Mytilus edulis: one gene and its partner. The protein of the gene in region 1 purifies or fractionates together with the protein of each later gene. This does not show direct contact. Links are inferred from orthologs where the notes say so. Each region holds a gene or a part of one and is shown on either strand. Other genes may lie near its edges.

What was found.
Region 2: the proteins of cyclin-dependent kinase 20-like (region 1) and peptidyl-prolyl cis-trans isomerase FKBP8-like purify together in Homo sapiens (affinity purification with mass spectrometry; 5 studies listed by BioGRID and IntAct, with this or other methods). This does not show direct contact. The link is inferred for Mytilus edulis from reciprocal best matches to the Homo sapiens genes CDK20 and FKBP8.

What each region holds. Positions count from the first base shown.
Region 1 is NC_092344.1:102,308,667-102,321,338, forward strand, and holds the start of cyclin-dependent kinase 20-like, read right to left. Parts: upstream 5,770-12,672; 5' UTR 5,672-5,769; intron 4,504-5,671; exon of another isoform or gene 4,432-4,503; intron 4,067-4,431; exon of another isoform or gene 4,046-4,066; intron 3,847-4,045; exon of another isoform or gene 3,835-3,846; 5' UTR 3,828-3,834; coding exon 3,753-3,827; intron 403-3,752; coding exon 329-402; intron 1-328. Other genes in the region: uncharacterized protein, read left to right, coding at 5,931-6,029, 6,559-6,696, 7,551-7,700, 8,332-8,526, 9,594-10,062, 11,767-12,514. UniProt on the Homo sapiens protein: Required for high-level Shh responses in the developing neural tube.
Region 2 is NC_092347.1:90,562,759-90,575,879, reverse strand, and holds the start of peptidyl-prolyl cis-trans isomerase FKBP8-like, read right to left. Parts: upstream 5,973-13,121; 5' UTR 5,860-5,972; coding exon 5,859-5,859; intron 1,308-5,858; coding exon 625-1,307; intron 198-624; coding exon 50-197; intron 1-49. Other genes in the region: U11/U12 small nuclear ribonucleoprotein 35 kDa protein-like, read left to right, coding at 6,214-6,216, 12,963-13,121. UniProt on the Homo sapiens protein: Constitutively inactive PPiase, which becomes active when bound to calmodulin and calcium. Seems to act as a chaperone for BCL2, targets it to the mitochondria and modulates its phosphorylation state.

The DNA of each region.
Region 1 (12,672 bases):
ATGTTAAAAACAGTATTCTTTCTACCAAAATATTATATAAAGCGTGTAAAATTGCTATAATAAATTTTAAGCAACTTCAGCTTTGATTGTTTAATTGCAAATCCATCATGAATTTCTGTTGGATTTACTGCTAAAGATTCTCAATACAAAGAGGGTATCAAATTATTTCAGTTAGTCCAATATTATTGTTATCATGCCTATCATATGAAAAATCAAGACATAAAAATATAATTTTCTGCATTTCTCTCAATATTTTTGAAAGTTTATATACAGTAACAAAACAATATTTATTTTATATTCTGTTCTAAAATGAAAAACACACAAGTACCTCAGTGCTGTATTTGGAATGCCATCTTCAAGTTTTCTGAGTGGAACTTTTTTCAAGGCAACAACTTCACCACTCTATAAAATGTACATGTTTATCAGATATAACAATACGAAATATGTATCACCCAAATTCAATAAACCATTACTCAAATTACAATGAATAAATGTATACAAAAACATATTTTTTCACAAAAATATTTCCATGCTTGCCATTCTAGTTTTATATTATTGTCCATCAGTGTAACAATAGATGACCTGTCAAAAAAAACTAAAGACATCTTACAGAGTTGTCTAGTCAAAGCAGCTTAGTTATTTTTATTTTTTTTAGATGGAGTTTTGGTCTCATGACTGGAGAATTTCAATCAACATGTTATCAATGGGTTTTTTTCTGTGTTCATTTTGATAGTGAAACTAAATATTTCCCATTTTTTGTATGTTAAGATCATTAACATAAATTTATTCTATTAGTACGATAGATGAAGAACTTTTGTATTTACCATATTAAAAATTATGATTTCATAGATTTGAACACCTTGTGGATTTAAAAAAAGATGGAAGAAAAAATGAGCTTTCAAACATCCATCCCCTATACATACAGTTTAATTGGTGAACAAAATAGTTCATTACCATGTCCATTAATTTTGTAATTCGTTGGTGGTAAAAACTGCAAGGTTCTAGTGTATACAAGTTTAATATCAACTTTTCTCAGAGTAATAAGTCAAATAATAGCACCCCAGAAAGTTTTAGCATAACTGAGTTGTTATTGCATTTAATTTTGATGGTGAAAATAAACATCTTATAAATTATTTAGAATTTTTAGAAGTGTATCTTTTCAATACATACTTTTTGGTTTGTCCTTAAAAAGTTAAAAATTATTAAAGGAACAGTCTTATCATTATTATATAACTTAACATGTAGTTTTTTTTTATCCATATTTTCATGTAAAAACATTATTTAATGGAGCAGAATTTAAAAAACATTGTTAATGAAAAAACAAAGAGAGTATTAAACCTGAAACTTATACTACTAAATGTGTTTGAAATACACACAAAGGACAGAAGACTTGAGAAAATAAAAGATTTTAATTCCCCCAGGAAAAATTGCATGTATGTGTAACCGGAGAGCATGTATCTACTCTACAAATTCATATCGTCACCACCGAGATTCAACCCCGGTTGCCTGCGTGACAGTCAGTGCGTTAACCCACTGAGCCAAAGAATCGATTCCCTAGTTCAGTTGATTAAGACTGGCTTTATATGTTCTACCTGTACTAAGGAGGGGAAGCAATCCCGCTACACTATTCCCCCACCACGAGAGTCATAGTCATATATAAACAACACAAACCCTAGCTATACTCCAGTTAACCATCGTGGATTGTTTAGTTGGGCGCCAAATGTACGGAGATCATGTATCTACTCTACAAATTCATATCGTCACCACCAAGATTCGAATCCTGGTCGCCTGGGTGACAGTGAGTGCATTAACCCACGGAGCCAAAGAATCGATTCCCTAGCTCAGTTGATTAAGACTGGCCTTAAATGTTCTACCTCAGTAACCTGTACTAAGGAGGGGAAGCAACCACGCTACATATATAACATAAACCCATAAACAATCTAAACTACTACGAGCTGGTGCACCAGTACTCAACAAACACATAACAACATTAATAAATAACACCATAGAATCCAGTGAGTTTCCCCAACAGACTCAAAGAAGCTCAGGTTGTACCATTACATAAAAAGAATGATCCACTGGATAAAAAGAACTATAGACCTGTGAGCATTTTACCAACAATTTCAAAAGTCTATGAAATGGTTATGTCTGACCAGTTAACTGAATTTTTTGAGAACATATTTCATGCTTTTTTATGTGCATTCAGAAAAGGTCATGGATGTCAGACAACTTTGCTGAGACTCCTTGAGGATTGGAAAACAGCTTTGGATAATAATATGTATGTGGCAGCTATTCTTATGGATCTTTCGAAAGCTTTTGACTGTTTACCTCATGATATTCTTTTAAGCAAATTATCTGCCTACGGTCTTTCTTCTAAATCAGTGAAATTACTTCAAAATTATCTTACAGATCGTAGGCAACAAATCAAACTTCAGGGAGTACTCAGCAGTTGGGCTGACATCCAGAAAGGGGTACCCCAAGGCTCAATCCTGGGGCCCCTATTATTTAATATTTTTATAAACGACATATTTTATTTTATTGAACATGGTACCTTGTATAATTATGCAGATGACAATACTCTGTCTTATGCTGACAATGATTTTGATAATTTATTATGTACACTCGAAAGAGAAAGTGCTGTTTTAATTGACTGGTTCAGATTTAATTGTATGCAGGCAAATCCTGACAAATTCCAAGCCATTGCAGTTGGAAATAAAACATTTGCAAAAAAGCCTGTTTTTAATATACAGTCAGCAAAAATATCCTGTGATGAGATTGTCAAACTTTTGGGTATTGATATTGACTATCAACTTAATTTCAATCACCACATTAAAAATATTTGTCGTAAAGCATCCCAACAACTGAATGTTTTAAAGCGCATTGGCTGCTACCTTACTAAATTGAATAAACTGACAATTTTCCACACATTTATTTTATCTAATTTTAATTTTTGTCCTTTGGCATGGCATTTTTGCAACAAAAATAACACCACCAAATTGGAAAAAATTCAGGAAAGGGCTTAACGATTTATATATGAAGACTATGTTAGTTCATATGATGAACTACTTTTACGAGCAAAGGTTCCATCACTGAAAATAAGACGTATGCGTAACATGGCTATTGAGTGTTTTAAAATTTTATATAAATTGTCACAACCATGCTTACATGATTTAGTTGTTTTGAAAGACTGTAAATATAATTTTAGATATTCTAATATTGTAGATATACCTAGGGTCAGAACAACAACCTATGGTAAGAACTCTTTTAAATACACAGCTGCTGTTTTATGGAATGATCTACCTGATGATTTTAGAAAAATTGCTAATTTTAGTCAGTTCAAAAATATTTTAAAGTCATGGAATGGAAATGACTGTAAGTGCACAGTTTGTGCAGACTTTTAGTTTATATATTATGAAAATTTATTTACCATCTAGATCATATCCCATTTTTTTTTTTTTTTTTTTTTTTTATGCTAAGCATTTTTACCAGCTTTTATGCCTAGTTTACACTTATATGCTTTTAGCCTTAATACCTAGCTTATGCTTATATTCTGCTTTTAGTGCTTCATTTTTGTGCTGTGATATTTAATGCATGTGTACTATATTATAATGTATTATATTGTTATAAATGTTGTACTGTTAAATAATGTCTCATATGTCGGTTAAAAGCTCATTAGAGCTTATGTTTGTCTATGTTTTATATACCATGCCGACTCTAAATAAAGCTTATTTATTTATTTATTTATAACAAACCTCTATATGTTTGGCTTTAAGGACAATGCCATGAGCGCCTTCTCCTATCCTTCCCAATATTGTATACTGTTCCATTACCAATCTATAAAGATAACTAATATGTACCGAATGTTGAATGAACTTAAAACTAAAACCAAACTGTAATATGGTGCAGTCCGATGCAACTGCCCATCTAAGACTTATGACTTCTCTTAATTAAAAACTGATAAAACAAATAATCGGATAAAATCGTGAGAACAAATTCACAACATACTTTTATTTCATAAAATATTCTATATAAATACGGTTTTAACCTTAAAATTTTGTGTAATATGAATATAGAATAGAATAGAATAGAATATTTTTTATTACCAAATTAGGGCCCCAGGAGGGCATATGATACAGACAATATTATTATAAACAATAACATATGCAATACACACACAGTAAAAGATATGTAACAAGTGTTATAAAAATGATAAAATAAAATAATATAACACAGAAAATACACTCAACAAAATAGTAGCAATGTATTATTATTCAATGAATACTATGTGTATAAATATGTGTCCAAAATAAGGAAAACCCCTGTGGCAGTGGAATACAATTAAACCATTTTTTCTGTACAATTCTAACTGTTTGAATGATATTCAGTTTGGGTACAATATGCTTTTTATGTCGATTAATTTGTAAAAAATACTTTGTTGTTGTCAGGAAAGCATTTTTTTGGTCTAAATATGGTTTCTTTTGAAAAGAACGAAGACAAAGGGACATAACTAATATCTAAATTTGTTTAGTCCACGTTCGTCCCACACCATTTCGCCCCTTCGATGTTATCATAAAAAATATACACTTGGAACAAAGTTTTCTTCTTGTGATCAATACACCTATATTATAATTAGAAAACAGAATGGTGATATTGAAAAGAATTTTGTTAAAATGATATATAAATTGAATAAGTGATTAATTAAGTGGATAGATTACTATACTGCAGATCCAGATATACCAACCTAACATGTAGTCACTCAAGTTGTGCTACTCTCCTTGAGTAGTAATAAAACTGGAAATAAGAACTTCATATCCATAAAAAGTTTTTTAGTGTTCCGAATTTTTTTGGAACAATGATCAGTATTAGAACACTGAGGGCGGATCCAAAAGGGGGGGGGGGTCCGGGGTTTGAACCCCTTTTTTGGACGATCAATGCAGTTGAATGGGGACATTTGGCTGGAACACACACACCCCTTTATCCTGGGTTGGAACCTCCTTTTTAAAATGGCTGGATCCGCTTCTGATTAGATTGTTTCATGTCAAGTTCATCATGTGATAGAATCATGCGAAAAAAAACTGACTGTGTGCTTGTACCATCCATTTGTGTTAAGCAGTTCATAAAACAACATATACTCTAAATCTTTATCATTGTACAGAGCTACTGTGATAGAAAGAAATGCGATGAGAATTGTGAATCTGATACTGGAAATGTCAAACTGATAAAATAGGGTTTAAAACAAAATTTGAAAAATCTTTTACAACCGTAAATTTTGTCATCATTAATTTATTAAATACAGGCTTGCTTTTTCCAATTAAGAACCGGCAATACGAAGGCTCGTGCAGCCACACGATGGATTAAGTGTAAAGACGCCACAAACAGTCTGGGAAATATGTGACAATTGCATCAAATATGCATACATAATATCACGAAAATGTAAAACCACAAGTTATTATGCATACCAAGATCTTACTGCGGTGATAAATTGATCATAATTTATTCTTTAATAATGGGTTTATTCAGAGGTGCAACGAGTTTACACGGATAGTGTCTAAGTTGATAGGCTTTTAAACAACATTACTGTCAAAATTAGGATGTAATATCTGGTTAGAATTGAATCTTTGAATATATGAAAGAATACATTAAAAGTTCTAAGTAATATATGATAACGTACTCCCTATCTCTTTAACAAATGCTTTTTTCCCATTGAAGAATCTGATTTTATAACATCAGTTGTAGATCAGCACTATTGCATCTACCTACACCCAACTAAATTATAAAGATAATCGAAGATGTGGTACTACGCCAATGAGACAACTCTCCACAAGAGACCAATGACACAGGCGCTAACAACTAAGCTATTATGACGTTACGTTACCATTCGATATCGGCGTATCTCGAAAATGGAGTGAAAAGGATCTTCTTGTGTTATAATGACAACTGTATCCTTAATAGAATACAATCCAGACAATGGACCCCTCCATTCACCATCAACTTCAACTAAAGGGTTAGACAAGACAAAAGTTGCTAAGGTAGATATGAATGTTTTATTCAAAGAATATCTAAAAAGATATTAACGAAGCCAAATTACATTCGATTGTATAAACGCTCTTCAAAGATGATTAATGTTACCAAAGAAGATCGTGAAGTAAGTAATTCATCACGTGTTGAACTTAGACAATTGTTTTCTGTGAAAACTTAAAAGTAATATAGGTTTTAACAAATGTATCTTTTACGTTAACTTTGATTTTGGTAGTTCAACACTGCTTTTTGTTCTCGCCGCGACATTGGGCACTGACGCAGCTTACAACCAGTCCATTATGATCCACTATCCACCAATGATTAATAACAAAAACAACTATAAAGCCTAGCGCCCCCCCCCCCCCCCCCCCCAAGAAAAACCCCATACGAATTTACAACTGGATAGGTGTATAATAAGAATAAGCCACACAAAACAAAAATGTATTATAAAACTCCAACGTCGACGTACCAGATGACCTATCTCGAACTCCTTTGTATGTATAGCTCCTGTCATTTATTTGTTTTTACTCCCCCTTTTAGATAGGTAGTTTGACAGCGGGCAACCGAAGCAGGGAAGGCAGCTGTGATGTCAAGGAAATACAAGGGCTATCCCTTTTAAATACAGAGCTGACACACACACTTAAAAGTCGAACTGGAATACGTAGAAAACCGAGAGAGGTACGTGCAATATCTAAAGAAAAGAATGTGTTATAATAATCCGTGGTATTGTATCTCACTCGAATGATGTGGACAACTTTAATCTAGTGCGTAATCACCATTAGGTACTGTTGAAACCAAAATTTTAAAATGAAACACTTAGAAGAAGAAGAAAAAAAAAACAATTAGATAATCAACCACATATTGCTTATAGCTTCTAAGAAAACTCTGACAGTTGAAGATTTCACTTTAAAAAAAAAATCAATCTTTACTAAAATTCACAACATGACAACATCATGTGTATAGTGCCGGTTTGATAATTTGCAAATTTTTAGTAATTTTCGCAAACATGAATAAAAAAAAATCTCAAACAAAAACCCAAATTCCATTGAGAGAAAACTTTTGCCAGCCGCTATGTTGTTCTTAGTTCAAAAACATATTCAGTTTAATGTTTGACAAGGTTTTGTTCCAATATTGTAACAAAACCGTCTTCGACAACGATGTAAAGCGATGAAAAGCATTTTCTTTTTATGAAAATTTGTACAATCTATAATTTGTATTGTTGCGACTTTTCTATACACATTCCAGGTTTTACCTTTTTTTTAATTTGGAGTCTGCGATTGACAGAAATTCAGTGGAAACTGGACCTACCTCTTTCTTATAGTTATATGAGTTGTAATACTAGTTATTTTATATGTCCTTTTTCTTAGTTCATTAATGATAAATATCAGGTATACCTATACCAGATATGCCGCCACTGAGTGGTGTTGATACATTGATTTGTTGCAAAGAGAATGGAAAAAGAAATTACCAATTAATTTCATGAATATAAAAACACAAAGCAGACCTACATAATATTCATTTTTTATGTTAAGATTGATCTTCTTCCACAAAGACCATCAACTACCCAGTATTATCAGCACACGTTTTATGATCCTGCATGCGCCAAAGATGATATACAAACAGGACCACTGAGTGTCAATGGAGAAAAACTGGACGCTCTATCCAACCTGCAGTTCCGTCTGGTAATATTTCAAAAATGCAATTACATAAGAAATTGTCAAAAATGTATATAAAAAACGTCTAGATATATATATTAGTCAACGATCCATCCTTCTTACGAGGACGTTGGGTCGTTTGTACATAATCTAACTGATATGTACGCCTAATAGTATACAAAACATCATAAACATGATGATTATTGAACTCTATGAATCAGATATAACAATCTGAAATATAGAATTGCACCTCTTCAGGAAAAGTTGACCTCAGGCAAGTTATGCAAATTGTGTACATCTTTGACCGTAAGTTTTCTAACTTTTGGCTTTGAATGTTTAAAGTGGGTCGACTTGTATCCCCGAAAATGACACGAGTAGCTTTGATTGTATTTGCTTAACCATACTGTTTGAACACAACTAAGAACACTGTATGTGAAAAAAAATCATAATTAAATTCTACCTGCACATGCAGGAACATTTGCTTCTGAGAGATAATGGTCATCATGGGGTCATACTTTGTACATCTAGCAATAGATGGCCCCGACATGACAAAATGTAAACAATTAAAAAATGAAAAACCTTTTGTTAATGGTATTAACTCTTAAAAAATGAATTACAGTAATTGCATTTCTACATTCTTTGTTGATTTTTATTGCAGCCAAGTACGCCACTAGTACATAGACGGCAGTATTACATCAGCCAATCATTTAGCAGTACAACTTGTAGTGAATGCAGCCAATGTGGTGGAAGATCGTCTCCCGATAACCCACCGTCATCTCCCATTCGAGAAACGTCTTATTTGAAGTTGGATGGTAAAAAAATGTCATGTCCTGATTTCAGATCTAAATCTGAGGTAAATATTTTTAATGTTATCTGCGTTCCAGCTAAAACATAGATTCAAAGATCGTTGACAAAAGATTAAAAACACAAATATCAGAAATGTCACTGAGAATTTCAAAATCTTACATGCTTGACTTTTATTTAATAGAAATATAAGAATCATGTAAAATATCATGAATTGTTGGCGTTTAAAGCCACTTTCAGTGATATTGGCTATATCGTGGCAATTAGTTTTTATTGGTAGGGAGGTTGGAGAGAACCAACGACCTTCTGCATGAAACTTGAACTGAAAATCCTGATCAATTAAGGTTGATGTCAAACACTGCTAAGACCACTCTCATACCGATTGAGGCCTCCCTAAAAAGATAAAGTTTCATTTTATATTACAAAATATCGAAACATAAGGAATATCTTCATCATATTAGCCAAAACAAAACTTCAATAGAAATCTTCTGGAGCGTCTAGCTGGTATCATTTGAGAGCATTTTTATTGTGTAAACTTTAGACGCCTTACCGTTCATCGTCGGTCTTCTGTTTCTAGTAATTTGTCTTGTTCGCGTATTTTCCTCTTATTTGTAAATATGTATTTCACTTTTTCCTCACTAGGTTTGTTATGTTCTATATAATACTAAAATATGAATATAAGGGCAGTTAAATAACGATAGAAAAATAGTCTTAATAATTATCCAGTATAAGTACATGTAGTAATAAAGTGTAGATACAGGTAGAATGTGAAGTCTATATTTCGCTTCAAGTGGTAAGCTAGCGTTAAACTAAGAAACTTCAGTCTTTAAAAACTTCTTTAACTAATGCTTACGTCATACATTTCATTCTGGTATCAAGCCTATGTTATCAAAATACTACATTTTCGTAGAAGTTCAGTTTAGAATTCATAACGAGGGTGCAAATTAATATTTGAAAAGAAATATTTCTTTCTATTATCGGCAATGTGAAAAATATTCACTTCACGCATTATTAATAAAAAATATCCACGTACAAATTAATCTAGCTTCGTAGGTGCCGGTGGCCATGAACTAGCGTCACCACAAAATGCATGTCACCGGTTGTTTGACTTTGTAGTTGAAAGATTTCAAACCCGGATTATTAAAGAAAACGTCGTATTGCTGTGTCAAGTGTGAGGGTAGAATGATAAGCCACGACACGTTGATGATGGAATCGGAAAGTCCTTTCCAGTCTTATTTCCGCCAGCCAGCAACTTATGCAGAAACCCTGCCATATGACAACATACAACCACTACACCCAGACAAGAGCTTGGAAACTTGTGAAGAACTGATTATTGACCAGCCTCTAGAAGACAGTTTTCTAAAAGACGATATGTTTACTTTACCAGAATTACCACACCCTATAGCCAATGTAGAAGTAATATCTAGGGATGTATTAGAACGCTGTAAAGGCGGTCAAAGATCAAGGCTCAGCCCGAGATACCTTCATCACAATCAAAATAGAATGAGGTCTGATGAAAATGAAGAACTGTCAAGTTCAACTTGCATTATATCCAAACAGATATTCCACAGTTCTAACAAAACAGGTATTTCACAGTTCTAACAAAAGAGGTATCTTTTACATTCAGGTAGACGTTCAAATTAATGTACAACTATCTGTTTATCTTTTAAACAAATTTATTGTCATATCTTTGTATGCTTTAAAGATAAAGATACACAGCGACATAAACATAAAAAAACCAACTGAAGCTGTCAAATTCAGAGAAAATTGTTTTCAATTTAAAGGCGTTTACTTTTAAGGTTGTTTGACCTGCCACGTTCTTTGTGTATTTTCCAATATATCAAGGACCATATAAATTTAACCTCATTTTGCCATTAGAAACAAACACTAAAACCACATAAATAAAGGCAACAGTAGTATACCGCTGTTCAAAAATCATAAATCGATAGAGAAAACACTTCAGGGTTACAAACTAAAACCGAGGGAAACACATCAACTATAAGAGAAAGACAACGGAACAGAAAAAACTGAAGAGAAACAAAAATCAAACGCCAACATACAGCGAAACGGACTATTTGATAACAACTGCCATAAGTGGCATTTTCCAAACTAAGTCTTCCTAGGACCATAATCATAAAAAGACACAAAAAGCTATTTCAAAATCAACCCCTGCACGGTAAAAGTGAAAATCATCAATATCAAACTTGATTTCCATTTTTTCATCTTCAACATCATATTAACTAGAGGCTCTAAAGAGTCTGTGTCGCTCACCTTGGTCATTGTGCATATTAAACAAAGGACACAGATGGATTAATGACTAAATTGTGTTTTGGTGATGGTGATGTGTTTGTAGATCTTATTTTACTGAACATTCTTGCTGCTTATAATTATCTCTGTCTATAATGAACTCGGCCCAGTAGTTACAGTGGAAAATATTTTGTAAAAATTTACAAAAATTTACAAAATTTATGAAAATTGTTAAATATTGACTATAAAGGGCCATAACTCCTTAAGGGGTCAATCGACCATTTTGATCATGTTGACTTATTTGTAGGTCTTACTTACTTTGCTGTACATTATTGCTGTTTACAGTTTATCTCTCTATCTATAATAATATTCAAGATAATAACCAAAAACGGCACAATTTCCTTAAAATTACCAATTCAGGGGCAGCAACCTAACAACGGGTAGTCCGATTCATCTGAAAATCTCAGGGCAGATAGATCTTGACCTGATAAACAATTTTACTCATGTCAGATTTGCTCTAAATGCTTTGGTGTCAGATATATAATCCAAAATCTACATTTTACCCCTATGTTCTATTTTTAGTCATGGCGGCCATCTTCGTTTGTTGGCCGGGTCACCGGACACATTTTTTAAAATAGATACCCTAATGATGATTGTGGCAAAGTTTGGCTAAATTTGGTCCAGTAGTTTCAGAGGAGAAGATTTTTGTAAAAGTTAACAGACGACGACGATGACGGACGACGGACGCAAAGTGATGAGAAAAGCTCACTCGGCCCTTTGGGCCAGGTGAGCTAAAAATGTGGTTGAACGGTTCAAAAGATATTGCATGGAAACTGTTGTCAGCATCTGCCTTTGAAGTCCTAAATTTGAATGATTTATTTTTGAAGATTTATAGGACTCAAAATGAATTATACATTAGATAATAACTAAAATATTGGTTTATGTCTAATGATGATATGATTGCTTATTAAATGTTGTAGCATCTTTGTCAGTATACAAATCTGATATTTGTAATGCAATATATACAACTTTTTGTCTTAAGAAATTATAAACGAAGAAACAACAAGCCAACAACTTAGAGTTTCTACCAACGAAACTAATGCAATTCACCAAAACTCTGCAGAAAGTAAAGAAAAAGATACAAAAAAACGTGCTGTTGATGGGATAATTAATCTACTTTGGCCAAACCACCAACCATGTAAAAAGTACTTACATTCACCTATCCCTTTGTGGGAGCGACCAAACATCCAACCATGTGACAAGGACTTACATTCACCTGTTCCTACGTGGGAGCGGCTAAATCACCAACCATGTGAAAAGTACACACATTTAGCTTTCCCTTCGAGAGAGCGGCCGAATTACAAACCATGTGAAAAGTGCTCACATTTACCTGTCATTTCGATAGAGAAAGCCTCATCAATGTCAACCAGTGATCTAATGCAACAAAGTGAAGAAGCAGAAGCACCACCATCTCCTGGTTTAGAACAAAGTGAAGTAGCAGAAGCACCACCATCACCTGATTTAACACAAATTGAACTAACAGAAACAACACCACTTGCCGACTTAGGTTCTCCATATAACTCAAACACGGATATGCAGATTAGAATACATTTAGAAGATCCTAGTATTTCTGTAAGCATACATAATCTTCCGAGTAATTCGTCAGCAAAGGATAATGCCATTAGCATAGAGGCAGAAATTTTCAAAACAGAAGATGTCAACCAAACTTTGACAAATGCAGTATATTCAAAAGAAGAGTTTATAGGAAGAGTAAATGGCATGGAATCAAGGTTAGCGTTTTTACTTTACTTTTATCTTCAAACGTACTTATCAAATCTAGAACTTTCACACCAATATTTTAGTTCTAGCTTTGATATTGTTTTGGTGTATCAACACTAAATAAAAATGATACATATTCTATCTCATTCGATAAAACTAATATCCTCTA
Region 2 (13,121 bases), on another chromosome or scaffold:
GTTTTTTTATACACAGTTATTTCTCAGTGTTATAAGGTAATACATGTACCTTGTATAACATCTCCTTCACCAACAGGAAAACTCAGGTCTTCTAAAGTGTCAACAACAGTCCCATCTTCCAACTTGCCACTTGTGTTAATAGTCACTATATCTCCATGATAAGGCTTTATGTCTTCAACATCTTCTCCCTCAATTACCTGGCAAATAAAATATACATTAAACTGTCAGTAACACACAATGTAATACATTATATTAAATTCACCTCTTTTTTTTTAATAAATAAATTATTTTTTTTATTTTTTTTTTTACTTACATGACTTATAAAAAAAAATTGATCCTTCGATTCATCATGTTCATTGACTTGGTAAAAATGAAAAATTGCTGATGACGAAAGCGACTTAAAGTGACTTGATGTATTGTGAACACCCAACTGGCCACTAGATATCGTATTGTGAACACCCAGGCCACTAGATATCGCTTTTGACAGTTGGTACATGATTGTAGAGCAAAGTAAGGAATGCAAAGTCTTTGCACCAGTCACCTGCTAGCATATATGTAAGTCAGCTAGTTTATAATTTTTATATACATGTATTTAGTAAGTTTAATCATTAAAAGAATCTTTACCTTTCTCTTTAATAAACCATTTCCTAGTAAGTCTAAGTAACCATCTTCATCCTCGCCATTCTTTTTTTCTTTTGTTTTATCGTTTACATCATTTTTCTTGATAATATCTGGATTTGGTTGAGTGGCTTCTTTTTCCTCTTCAACTGAACTTGATTCTTCTTTAGCCCCTTCTGATTGTTCTGAATTTGGTTCATTTGTTTTTTCTTCAGAAGAATTTTCATTTATTTCACTATTTGAACTAGCTGAATCTTTATCCTGAGTTTCTGACGATTCATTCATTTGTTCTTTCTCGTATTGTTCATCAAACTTACACACCTCTGTTACATATGTAGCTATATTTTTAGAAAAATCTTTCACGATTCCATCCGATATGTCATCGGCAATGTCTTCTACGATTTCATTAGGCACACTTTTACTCTGAATGGTGTCAGTTTTATCTTGACTAGAATTTATGGAATCACTTTTATTTGTTTGTTCTGATATATTAACACTATCTGTTATTACCCCTGTTTGAATGTTTGTGTCCCCTGTTTTATCTGGAAAGCCATTGACCTGTTTATTAGACACATGGGCTTGACTGTCACTTGCAGTTATAGATTCATCCACATTCAAATTTAATTTTGCTAGCTGTTGTTTTCTTTGCTCCTCTGTGATGGCATTAGTATTTTGGTCACTATCAGACACTAAAATTATATATAAATAATTAAAAATGAAATACTCAGTTCAGATAATCTAGAATTTTGCAAGAGTCTTATCTTCAAGATCAATTAATTCACCAAAAGCAACAGCAATTTACAGTTTGATTAAGAATGGTGGGGAAAAATAGTTCTTTATAATAGGCAACAATGTAACAGCCACTATCTTCCGTAATTACTTTGTTCTGGCAGAACTTTTCAACTAGTTATTTTGTTTCGATGTCACTTTACAAACTGGTTGTTTTATTCCGAGTGCAGCAGAAAAGTTCTGGAAAAAAGTAGCCAGTTGAAAAGTCCCGGGACAATGGCAGAACAGAACAACTAGTTACATCATTCCGAATATACCATATTTCGTCCTTTTTGTAGAAAGAGGGAGAAGAATGAGTTTCACTATAAATAAGAGTAAATCATTAATTTACAAGAATACCCAACGCACTGAAAGGGGTTTCTTTGGGGGACAAAAATGAAAAAAGGGGAATGGAACCTTATTTTTGGGGAAATAATGAAAATGTATTTAAATTTTGATGTACTAAGGGGGAAGAACAAACTCACCCAGCAAAATTTAAGTTGTATTTCATAGCTCACATAAAACGTAATAAGTTGCATTATCATGCAAATTTAGTATTCATAGTACCCTCAAGAGAGGGAAGAATACCCCCTCCTCATGTGGGTCTTTGCATCAATTCTCAAAATGGAATTTTGTGACTAGTTGATAAGTTCTGTTGGAACTTTTGGGCTAGTTTGTTAGTTCTGGTTTTGACTAATTTGGCAAAAAGTAACTTTCTAACTAGTTGATATGTTCTGTTGGAACTTTTCAACTAATCATCACTATGTTCCGAAAAAAATCAGACGTTTTAGCGCCAAAGTAGAACCCATTTTAGCGAAAAACTTTAATAGACTCAAGACATCACAATATAAAACATATGATGTCCATTAAAATACAGCACTAAATGTCTCAAAGATTTAATCAAATGTTACAAGTTCGTTCTAGCCTGGAATTTATGTCCTAGAGAACGTACGTAATGGGCTCTGGATATACCCCCCATACAATACTGTTGAATTGCATTAGAAACTGTTCTTTCTCTTTATCTTGTCTAGATTTTGATGCACATTCGTCTATACTTCGTGTTTTTGTATATGTTGTTTGCAATTTGAAAATAGTATCAAGAAAAACGTAAATAGCTGGATGACAACTATAACATTGCTCATTATAATGGTCATGGAACGACTCTGGACCACTATTTGTTCCCTTTAAAATACAATGAACTTCTGCCCAAAGCTTAGTGAGTTACTAATATTCAACCAGGTAAGTTTTCCCTAAAACGGGCTATCGAAATATACAGGTGAACGAATTAATCTAATGCAAAAATGGGCTCTAGTGTTGTCGCTCAAATGTCCCCTAGTACATGTAGCTATTTTTTTTCTCCCTAAAATGTCCTGCGCCTGACTAAATACTAAATGCTTAAAGAGAGCTTAAACACTAAAAACTAAAAGGAGATTTCTGACATGTGCACTAAGCCATATATAGCTGTTTGTACAATGATGTACAATTTGTATTATTATTGATTGAGTTTTCATGGCTAATGTACACGTGTACAGGCTACATGTATATCAAATACAACATAAACATTTTTTGATAAAATAAGAAATTTGAAGGATTATTTGAATTTGTAAAAAATATAACTAATATTTTTTACAAATTAAAATAATCCTTCAAAAATGTTTATATTGTATTTGATATACTACACTGTACTATATTTTTTACAAATTAAAATAATCCTTCAAATTTCTTATTTCATCAAAAAATGTTTATATTGTATTTGATATACATGTAGCCTGTAATAAATGACCAAAATGTACCTGTAAAACAGAAACTATATTATTGATTGACAAGTCCAAATAATCCATTGATGACCTGATTACCACTTATCATGTAACAAAAGAGGCTTTATATTCACTATATGTGTGAAATATATTCATAACAGGTGCATGGTAGACTGTAAAGAGTTGTTAATGATAATGAATTATTTAGTTAGCTCTCCGTTGTCTCTCTAATCATTTTATTCTTCACAATAATTATAAGGCAGCAACCATTTGATTTTCTGGGGGGGGGGGGGGGGGGGGGGGGGCTATGGATTTTTTTGGAAAGAAGTCTGTTTCCAGTTTTTGGAGAAAAAAATAATTTGTTTTTTACTTTGAGAAAAAAAAATGTTTGTTTCACCCTCAGCTGCCACTATACATGTATGTAATGCTAAAATTGAAAGAATAATGTTTTCGACTTGTCGCCAAAATAAGGCTGAAAAAATCCATAGCCCCCTCAAAAAATCAAATGGTTGCTGCCTAAGGCCTTGTTTAGCGTTTTTTAACCTATGACCTGCATAATACATTGTAATATCTAGAGGTTAATGATGTCTTAATAATTTAATATTCTTTTTTCAATTTAACTAGAACACACCCAAGAAATCGCATTTAGAGCATATGTAATCTGTTGAAGGATAATTTTTTGTAAAAAAAATTGTACCTGGAAAATTACAGGAAAGGTTTCATTAGTCATAGGTACATTGTACTTGAGAACAGGACAATTATTTTTTTTAGCCCTTCCCCTTTTTTCCAGACCATTTTTTGTTGTTTTTCTGTATATAATGAACACATACTATAACATGTACAAAAATGTAGTACGGGTAAACATGTATAAATGGTGGAAAGTAAACAACAGTATTGGAATTGATAGTAAATAGCAAATACACTTTATTTATACTATATATCATGTATGTATGATCACAGTATACAGAAAAACTCTAAAATAATTGTACTGTCCCAAAGTACTTAAAATCTAGTCTAAAACAATATCTGGACACCTTTATCATGTTTATTTTCCTCCCAAAATAACCCAAACTGAATAATCATAAGCAAGGATGATAAATAAATGATAAATGAGACTATGCATTGTACCTATATATCATGCCTATAGGACACAAAGGCATGATGATTAATTTATTGTGGAAGGAAGAGAAGCAACACACAAAATGAGGTCTTCTCATTTAATAGTATAAATATATATCTGGGTTTCTGTTGTTCTAAACAAAATATTTTTAAATGCATTTCATGAACAACACCTTTGTCTGCTTACTGCCTTTAAGTTGGGTTGTTGTCTCTTTGACATATTCCCCATTTCCATTCTCAATTCTATTACTGTTTGTGTGTGTATAAGTGCATGTTTTTATTGTAAAATTAATGTTAAATTACACATGGTGATGATATTTCGTATGATTTAAAAACTAAAAGTTTACATGTCATGTGTTTTATCATGTTTATTAGAGACAAAACCCCCATACATAGGTATTGAGAGTAGACACTGTTTTGTGTAAGATACTGTCCATTCTATGAAGGAACCCTTAGCCTATGAAATATGGTCCTTTCTTTGAAGGACACTTTTCACATCTGAGGACAAGATATCATCCTGACAAAATTTCATAATAACAGTGGACACAATTCTGTGAAATAGTGTCTGGTGGACATACTTTCATGGCGAAAATATCTAACTTTACAAATGAATTGATTGATTTCACTTGTATGTGCCAGTAGCATGAGTAGTAGATGCTCTCTGCATCATTATTATGAAAATACTCAGATAAAGCTGCAACCTCTGGATTCAACTTTCTTTGCCAAAGAAGACATTCCTAACCAATATTCAAAAGTACATTAAAAAAGTCATTATAGACATGATAGAACAAAATTTACTTTTTCTTCTTCCAATACAGTGCAGTCCTCTAATTGAGTATTATCGCACTATTGCCCATGCTGGGTGTGACAACAAAGGTGCAAGAAAATATTTACAGGTGCAAGTTAAAAACAGTCTGATGGTGCGATTAAGGGATACTACAGCTCAGTACCCCCTGCTTGAAAGCATCTAGTTAGGTACTATCCACCAAAGGTTGTGGAAGGCCATATCTGTATGCTGTCTGGAAAGAAGGAATGCCTGTATGTTGAAGTTCTGGCATACGGTACAAGAAATAGTGTTGTGTGTCCTCTAGCTATGGATGTTGTATACACCTTATCGCTATTTGTCCGCCATTGCTGGAAATCACACAGGTTCCCGTAAAATTTTGACGTCATAAAACAAAATGTCTGACGCCACAATGGAAAAGTGATTGTTGTTGACGTCAAAAGTTCAAGCGGACGGGTCAGCCGGGAATAGCGATAAGGTGTATTGTGTAGCTCTAGCGGTGGTATTGCTACGTACTTTATATTGATAATTTCATCAGAAAAATTTCAAGACAAGTATTGTAATGTTAAGTATGTGGTATGAAAATAGAAAATTTTAATATTCATTGCAAAAAAAAAAAACATTTTTTTTTAATTAAAAATCCTGCAGTCTGTACCTAAGCCAGTGTTTGATACCGGTCTGTAAATCATGCTGTCAAAAACTAAAAAGGTCAAACATGCACACTCTGAACATCAAATGATCAAATTCGTAGCAATTATCAATCTACAGTTAACTTTTCGTAACTGATGTATTTTATCATCTCATCTACCTACTTTCTTGTTACTGGAATGTTTAAGTGACAGTTAGAAAAACAAATTGCAAATAAAAATACGGAAAGATTATCAACTTTCACTTCTGAATGTTTTTTACGACATACTATTACCGGTGCATGTTGAATAAAAACAATGATTTTAATTAAAAAAAATAGCAGATTCCATGATTAATATATGATATTTAATATACCATATATTGATAAAGTAAATAAAATGCAAATATTTTTTTTTAATTAGATTCCCATACACGACAACCGCAAATAGTGTATACGACTGGTTACTTTGAGAAAAAAACCAGACCCATCAAAACCTTCTTATCTTTTAGAGTTGAGTAAGCAAACTTATCAACATTTTTATGGTAATTAAATCAACACCTAAAATGCTGGTTTATACAACTTAAAAAAAGCTGTTGTTTAGTCATGATATGAATTTGTAGCCGCAAAAAAAAAATTCCATGAACTAGCTGTACTGTCTGGTACCCATATGATAATGTTATCTGCTATTGTTGGACACAGAATACAGGACACTAAAGGTGTCATACCACCAATTAAAAGTCCCTATCTGTTCAACCAAATTTTGCAATTTTCACAGCTTTCTAAATATTTTACCTTAAGTTTAACTTCATAGAAACTAGGTATATCCTGAATTGTACAGGTGTCACCTTTCTTCATGCCAATTTTCAACATAACGTAACGGTACCCAAATTGCACCAAGTACCCAAATTGCACCTATTTAGCAAAACTAGCAGCGAAAATCTTACAAGATTTTCTAGAGACTAAACAATTTGTTTTTTTATGATTTGATACTAAGCACATCTTTCAACATAGGTAAAACTATTTAGATATGCACAAAACGTTCACAGTATCTATCAACAGATGAAGTATTTACTGAAAAAGCAAAATGTACTGAAACGTCACCATGCGACGTCATCAAAACGTCATCTTTTTAAAATGAGCAAATACAATATGTTACAAGTATCCATTTAAAAAATAATGAAGAGTAAGCATGGACTAATATCCAATTGTTCAAAATATTTAAAGAAATTAAACAAAAGCTCTGTTATTAGACTTTTGACGATGCGAATTTAAGCATGGAAGCAATTTGGGTACTCCTAATTTCAGAATCATTGATGGTTTGGAGGTCAGTTTAGACCAATTTTTCTATGATTCCATATGAAATAAAAATCAAATTGGTGTACCTTTATAATAAAGAAGGATAGGGCTACAAAATAAACACAGACTGGACATTTTTGTCTTCATCATAAAAAAACGTAGATGAAAAAACTGTCAAAATAGGTGCAATTTGGGTACCGTCACGTTACATTCAAAATCATATAAGAAAGCAGAGAGCTTCCGAAAGGAGGTACCACTAAAAATAACCCCTGGTTTTCTGGAAATCTTAAATTAGTATACTATGGAGCGCATTAATCCTCAATTTTTAATGCAAACTCATAGACAGGTAAATTTTGGCTCAAAATGGTCTTAATATATTTCTCTTTGAACAAAACTTTCATTTCTGCAAATTTGTTGGTTAGTTTAGGTGAACAATGACATCAAATGCACTTTTTTTTGTCCGAGTAGGCCTACTTTCACATACGTTCTAAATTTGAGGGAGTAATTGGTGGTATGACACCTAAATCAATATACATTATTCAAACAGGGATCATCACAACCTAATAATTAAGTGTGGCAGTGCAACAAGCTAAAACTACAAACGCTAAGTTAAAATTACCCACGCCATGCTTATTTTCTTGTCTGCACATTTGAAAATTCAATATATATTAGGGATCTCCATGGCCTGTTTAAAGTCATGGCTCCCCACCATCGTTTAAATATCCTGTGCCTCGCCATTGTTCTAATATCTTGCGCCATCATTAAATTGTCTTGCGCCATCATCAAATAACCTGCGCCATCATTAAATTGTCTTCCGCCATCGTTCAAAACTGTAATCTTTTTTTATAGCTCAACACCATTTTTTGAGATTCACTTGATGTTGAGTATCGAGTTGCGAGTAAAGAGTTACTACAGTCGAAATGCGATTTAGGAAAGTCGAGTTGCCAGTTAAGAAAGTCGAGTTGCAAGTCACAAATGAGTTAAGAAATTCGAGTTACGAGTTAAGAAAGTCGAGTTACGAGTTAAGAAAGTCGATTTTCAAGTTACAGAAGTCGAGTTGTGTGTTAAGAAAGTCGAGTTGCGAGTTAAGAAAGTCGAGTTTCGAGTTATTAAAGTCGAGTTGTGAGTTAGGAAAGTCGAGTTGCGTCAAAATGTGCTAACGAAACTCAGTGATTTATATTTATTTGGAATGATGATGGCTTATAGAATTGTATACAGTATTGTTGATTATTTTTGTTGTTTGGACTTCATCTGAGTCTCTTGTAAAAATAAAATGGATTGCTTACATATAAATCATACGTATCGTATTTTCTGAAGAAGCAGATAGCCTTTTGAAATACAGCGGATGGCTTGCAGTTTAATTATTATTAAATTTCATAGCTAGCACCGTCATATTAAACATAAAGGGAGATAGCAACCAAACTTTAATACATAAATGTAAAATAACCCTTCAGTTCTGCAGATTTCGTATAGAGTGAGCTTTATGGGGCAGCTCCAGAGCCGGGCAATTTTTTTCGTTAGGGACCGCAAAATTTATTCTTTGGCAGTGACACTCAATATTGTGGACGTTAAAATTATATACATTGTATGTCTACATCGGCTAGAGATGAAGGTGCTCAGTCAGGAACCTTAATAGTTAGCCTTTGTTACTCTTGCATATTTTTAAAAATTTTGGTTTATCTTTATATTTAGGAGCATAGAATGGGGTCCATATTCTTGATGTAATGAACATTGTGTTTCTGGGCCTGCTCAGGGCTCCCTCTAGGTGGGTGATCCTCGCTGTGTTGAAAACCTAATGGCCTTTGGTTGAATTGTATATTTTGGTTGGGTTGCTGTTGAAATGTTATTCTAATAAGTCACATACATTTAATTCAAGACAGGACCTGAACTATAAAATCATTACAATTAACATTATTATTGTTATTACAATGTACATATATTCATTTACATTTCGTCTAACATCTCGATATGTAATAATATAGTTTCCTAAATATTTAAGTACAGACAAATTTTCATTAGTAAATAACCAAACAAATTTTGTCTCATTTGAGAGATAGGAAAAATTAGTACAGAGACTGTAAAATATCTCCCTTCAGATCATCTTTGTACATGCTGGACAACTTGTAATGAAATGTTATTCATCTTCAACTAGATTTAGAGTACATTTCTTACAAAGCCTTTAAAGTCTTATTATATAAAGTTTTATATCAGTCTCTTTCTATTTTGAGATCATGGCCACTGATTCTGATTTTACATATGACACTTCATTTTAAAATTGTTTTAAAGATGCATGTAGGTACATTTCTTTAGAAAAACATTTTTTCAATTTGAAATAAGTATCTAATTTATAACTCTTTGTACCTTTTTTTTTTGTACCAAAATATAACAAAGTTTTTGCTTAACCAATGGCGGACCCAGAAATTTTCATAAGTGGGGGTCCACTGACTGCCTAAGAGGGGACCCGCTCCAGTCATACTTCAGTGATTCTCTATATAATAAACCAAATTTTTTGCAAAAAAGGGGGGGAGCAGGGCCCCCTGAAAACCCCTCTAAATCCGCCTCTGTTAACTGACTTGAGAAAAAAGTAAAGCTTTACTTCCAAATTATGAATATTCAGCTTTTTAAAAATTTAATCCATACGAAATTCCAATGAGCAAACTATTTTCTCCATTATTTTGCAGTGTGTTATAGTCCACGCGAGATGCCGAATTTCCTTTACTATTCTATTTTTAGGATTATTTGTTTACCAAATATACGGTAATAAGGTAATTTATGGTCAGACTGGTTCTTTTTATCCTTTTTATGTTGTAGTGTAAACGCACTGGAATAAATAAGATCGATCTCGTCCTTTAAGGAAACATTATTTTTTTTCAAATACTTCCAGAACTTAACTTTTACTAGACTCTTATAAATAAGTATCACATATACCTCATTCAAATTCTGCAATCACGGGAATAACTTAGTTCGGATACATGCATGCTTTGTTTATCAAGTGTGAATCAAACCTGAAAATTAGGTGTCAAAGATATTTTTGTAACTCACAACTCTACTTTCCTAACTCGCAACTCGACTTTCCTAACTCGCAACTCGACTTTCCTAACTCGCAACTCGACTTTCCTAACTCGCAACTCGACTTTCATAACTTGCAACTCGACTTTCTTAACTCGCAACTCGACTTTCCTAACTTGCAACTCGACTTTCTTAACTCATAAATTGCAACTCGACGATAAGAAACCTTTCCATTTTTTTAGCAATTATAATCAAATGCATGTAATTGCATAACCCTTAGGCTTTTTTATATTATAATCCAATACAGTTCAAACGCCTGAGGGATATCTAGATAAAGATAATTAATTACTTGTACCCGAGCTTGTACAGGTAGATCAACAAACCACACAGGAGAATACTATCTGAAATGTCTGAAGAAAGACGATTCGTTTATCAAGTTATTCACCTAAGTTTCAGAAAAAGCTTATAATAATTTAGACTATAAAAAATAAATTAATAATCCAGTTACAAAGAAAACAGTTTAACAAGTCGAACATGTGCTTTTATTTGGAGTTTACGCAATCAGCATCCCCCTTTTTTAAGAAGTACAAAATAAGATGTAAAACATTAATATTATTTCATCTCAAATAATTTGAGTACTGCTGTAACGATCTTATAGAATTACTTTAAAAGTTAAAAAGTAAAAACTTAAGTATTTACTGTGAAGAAATATCGTATCGCAATTCCGATTCATTTCCTAATTTACAATCAAATTGATACATCCGTGTTTCCAGTTTATATTCAGACTCGAAAGATGCATGTTGCATAGCATCAATTTGCTAGATAAAGTCATTAAAAACCTTTTCATTTGTCAATGTTTGCTTTTTAAATCTCTTCAACCTTTTACATAACCGAAAGAATTGTTTTGTTGTTGCTGCAAATCAGCCATACTGGTAATGGATTCATGAGTCATGAATCATGACTTCTGAATTTGACAGTTCCCGTGAAAAATAAGCTCCACATGATTTTTAACCCCCATAACAAGTACCAAAAAATAGCAAGAAAACTACATGGGGACCTTCATGACAGCTTTTGGTCATTCTCGACTAAGAGGGGACTATGAAGGCTTGGCATTTGAATAGTTACAAACGGTAATTAATGAAAATTTTGATACTTGTATAATGAAAATTCAAGTAAATATAATTTACCGTAGATCATGGTAGATAAGTAAATGAATTAGCATGTTCACCATTCCTGACATGGAGGGATGAAATACTTTCGATCACGCTACACTGTATGGCGTAGACACGGTTTGTGATTGTGAAAGTTCCTCCATCGTTCAATTTTCATTCATGGAGATCCCTGAGATATTGAAGTTAAATTTCAGTTATCTCTAATCCAATTATCATGTCAGTGGCAATTAAGACCAATACAGCGCAGACAAAGACCTATATATTCAACAATATTTAACCATTTTGAACTGCATTTTCGATAGTCCAAATAATTATGACATCTTGAAAGGCTATTATATTTTTTTCTTTGACGCCTTACGTCGCAGAAAGGCGTCAAAGCAAAAATTTAAAATAGCCTTCCAAGTTATCATATTATTTGGACTACATTTTCAAAAGAAAAATTGGTCATTAATTTTATTGATTATAATTTGAAAATAGAAATAACCTCTTATCTAATTTTAAAAAACTGTTTTTAGTGGTTAAATCATATCTAATTTTGGAGAACTATTTCTATTTATTCAGTTTAAGTTATTTCCCTTTGAACTGAAAATTAATAATTAATGAATAAAATTAAAATGTGTTTCATTTCAACATAAATTCCATAATAATTAATTATATAGTTTTCTTTCAAATGCAGAATCTAAACCAGTTTTCAAGTTGGTTTAAATCAGGGTCCAAAATTAAACTTTGATAAACATGTACTTTTGGATCATAATGGGTGAATGTTTAATTTCAATTTTTTTCCTCGACTTTGGCAAAAACAGTTAACAAAAAATGCAAAAATGCTGATAACAGTACTAGTTAACAAACAGGGTTGAAAACAGTTAACAGCTTAAATTGATCTCAGATAACAGTTAACAACACCTTGAAAAGGGCCAAAACAGGTTAATATAAAAAGGTATTGGCCCCCCCCCCCCCTTCTCATTCATTTTGTGTCACAAACCTATTGCTGTGTCAAATATTCAATCACAATCCAAATTCAGAGCTGTTTAAGTTTTCAGCTTACTAGTAAATGATTATGTAGTGTCAATACTTGCTCAACCGTCAACCTCTGTAGAAAATCTGGTTTACTGTCACTCTGACAGCCTCTACTTCATAAGTGAGTTGAGTTGGTAAACCAGAGTGGGGCAATTTTGTGAAAAGGTGGGGGGTATTTGATGTGAGAAGATTTTGGAGAGGGGCAAGCTGTCTTGCATCCTTCATTTACACACATGTACATTATGTGATATAATTCATTGTAATCACAAGGTCTCAGTGATTGTTGACAAAGGTGTTGGAGAATTCAGAAGAGAATAATCCTTCCAGTGTATGCCTTGTAAAACTGGAAAATGATCTCATTATTGTGTTTTTACCATTAAATTTTGAAGTTTAAGAAAACAATTATTGATAACTTTACAAATTTGCATCCTGTGTAATATAATCATGATAATAATTAAAAAAAAAGTGTACATCAAAATGTTGTGAATGGGTAAAAATGATCCAAACAGTGGAAATTCAATTGCAACCAATGACAAGAAGTTATTTTCATCTTGTGGTAGGAACAAAAATGATGGAACAATTAAAGTGTCATTAGATTCTAAAACAGCATATTCTTATCTGCATTCATAGGGTGTGCAATGTGCATATTCTCAGGACTGATGGTAAGATGACAAAGGACAACAAAATACTGTTCACTCAGTGCCTTTAACCTTTGCAAGTGTATATTTATAGTAGTCTTTGGGAAAAATTCATTGAAAATTTAAATAATAAAATATATTTACTTTTTTTTACAGATTAAAAACTTTAATGAAATAATGGATAACTGGTCTGCAATTGCAAAAGTCTATGATCCGTTGAAAGCAGGAAGTATTGATGCCACAGATACAGAACCACATGACCATGGCATCATCAGAGCAATGGCAGCTAAATACAAACCAAATAAAGATGTAATA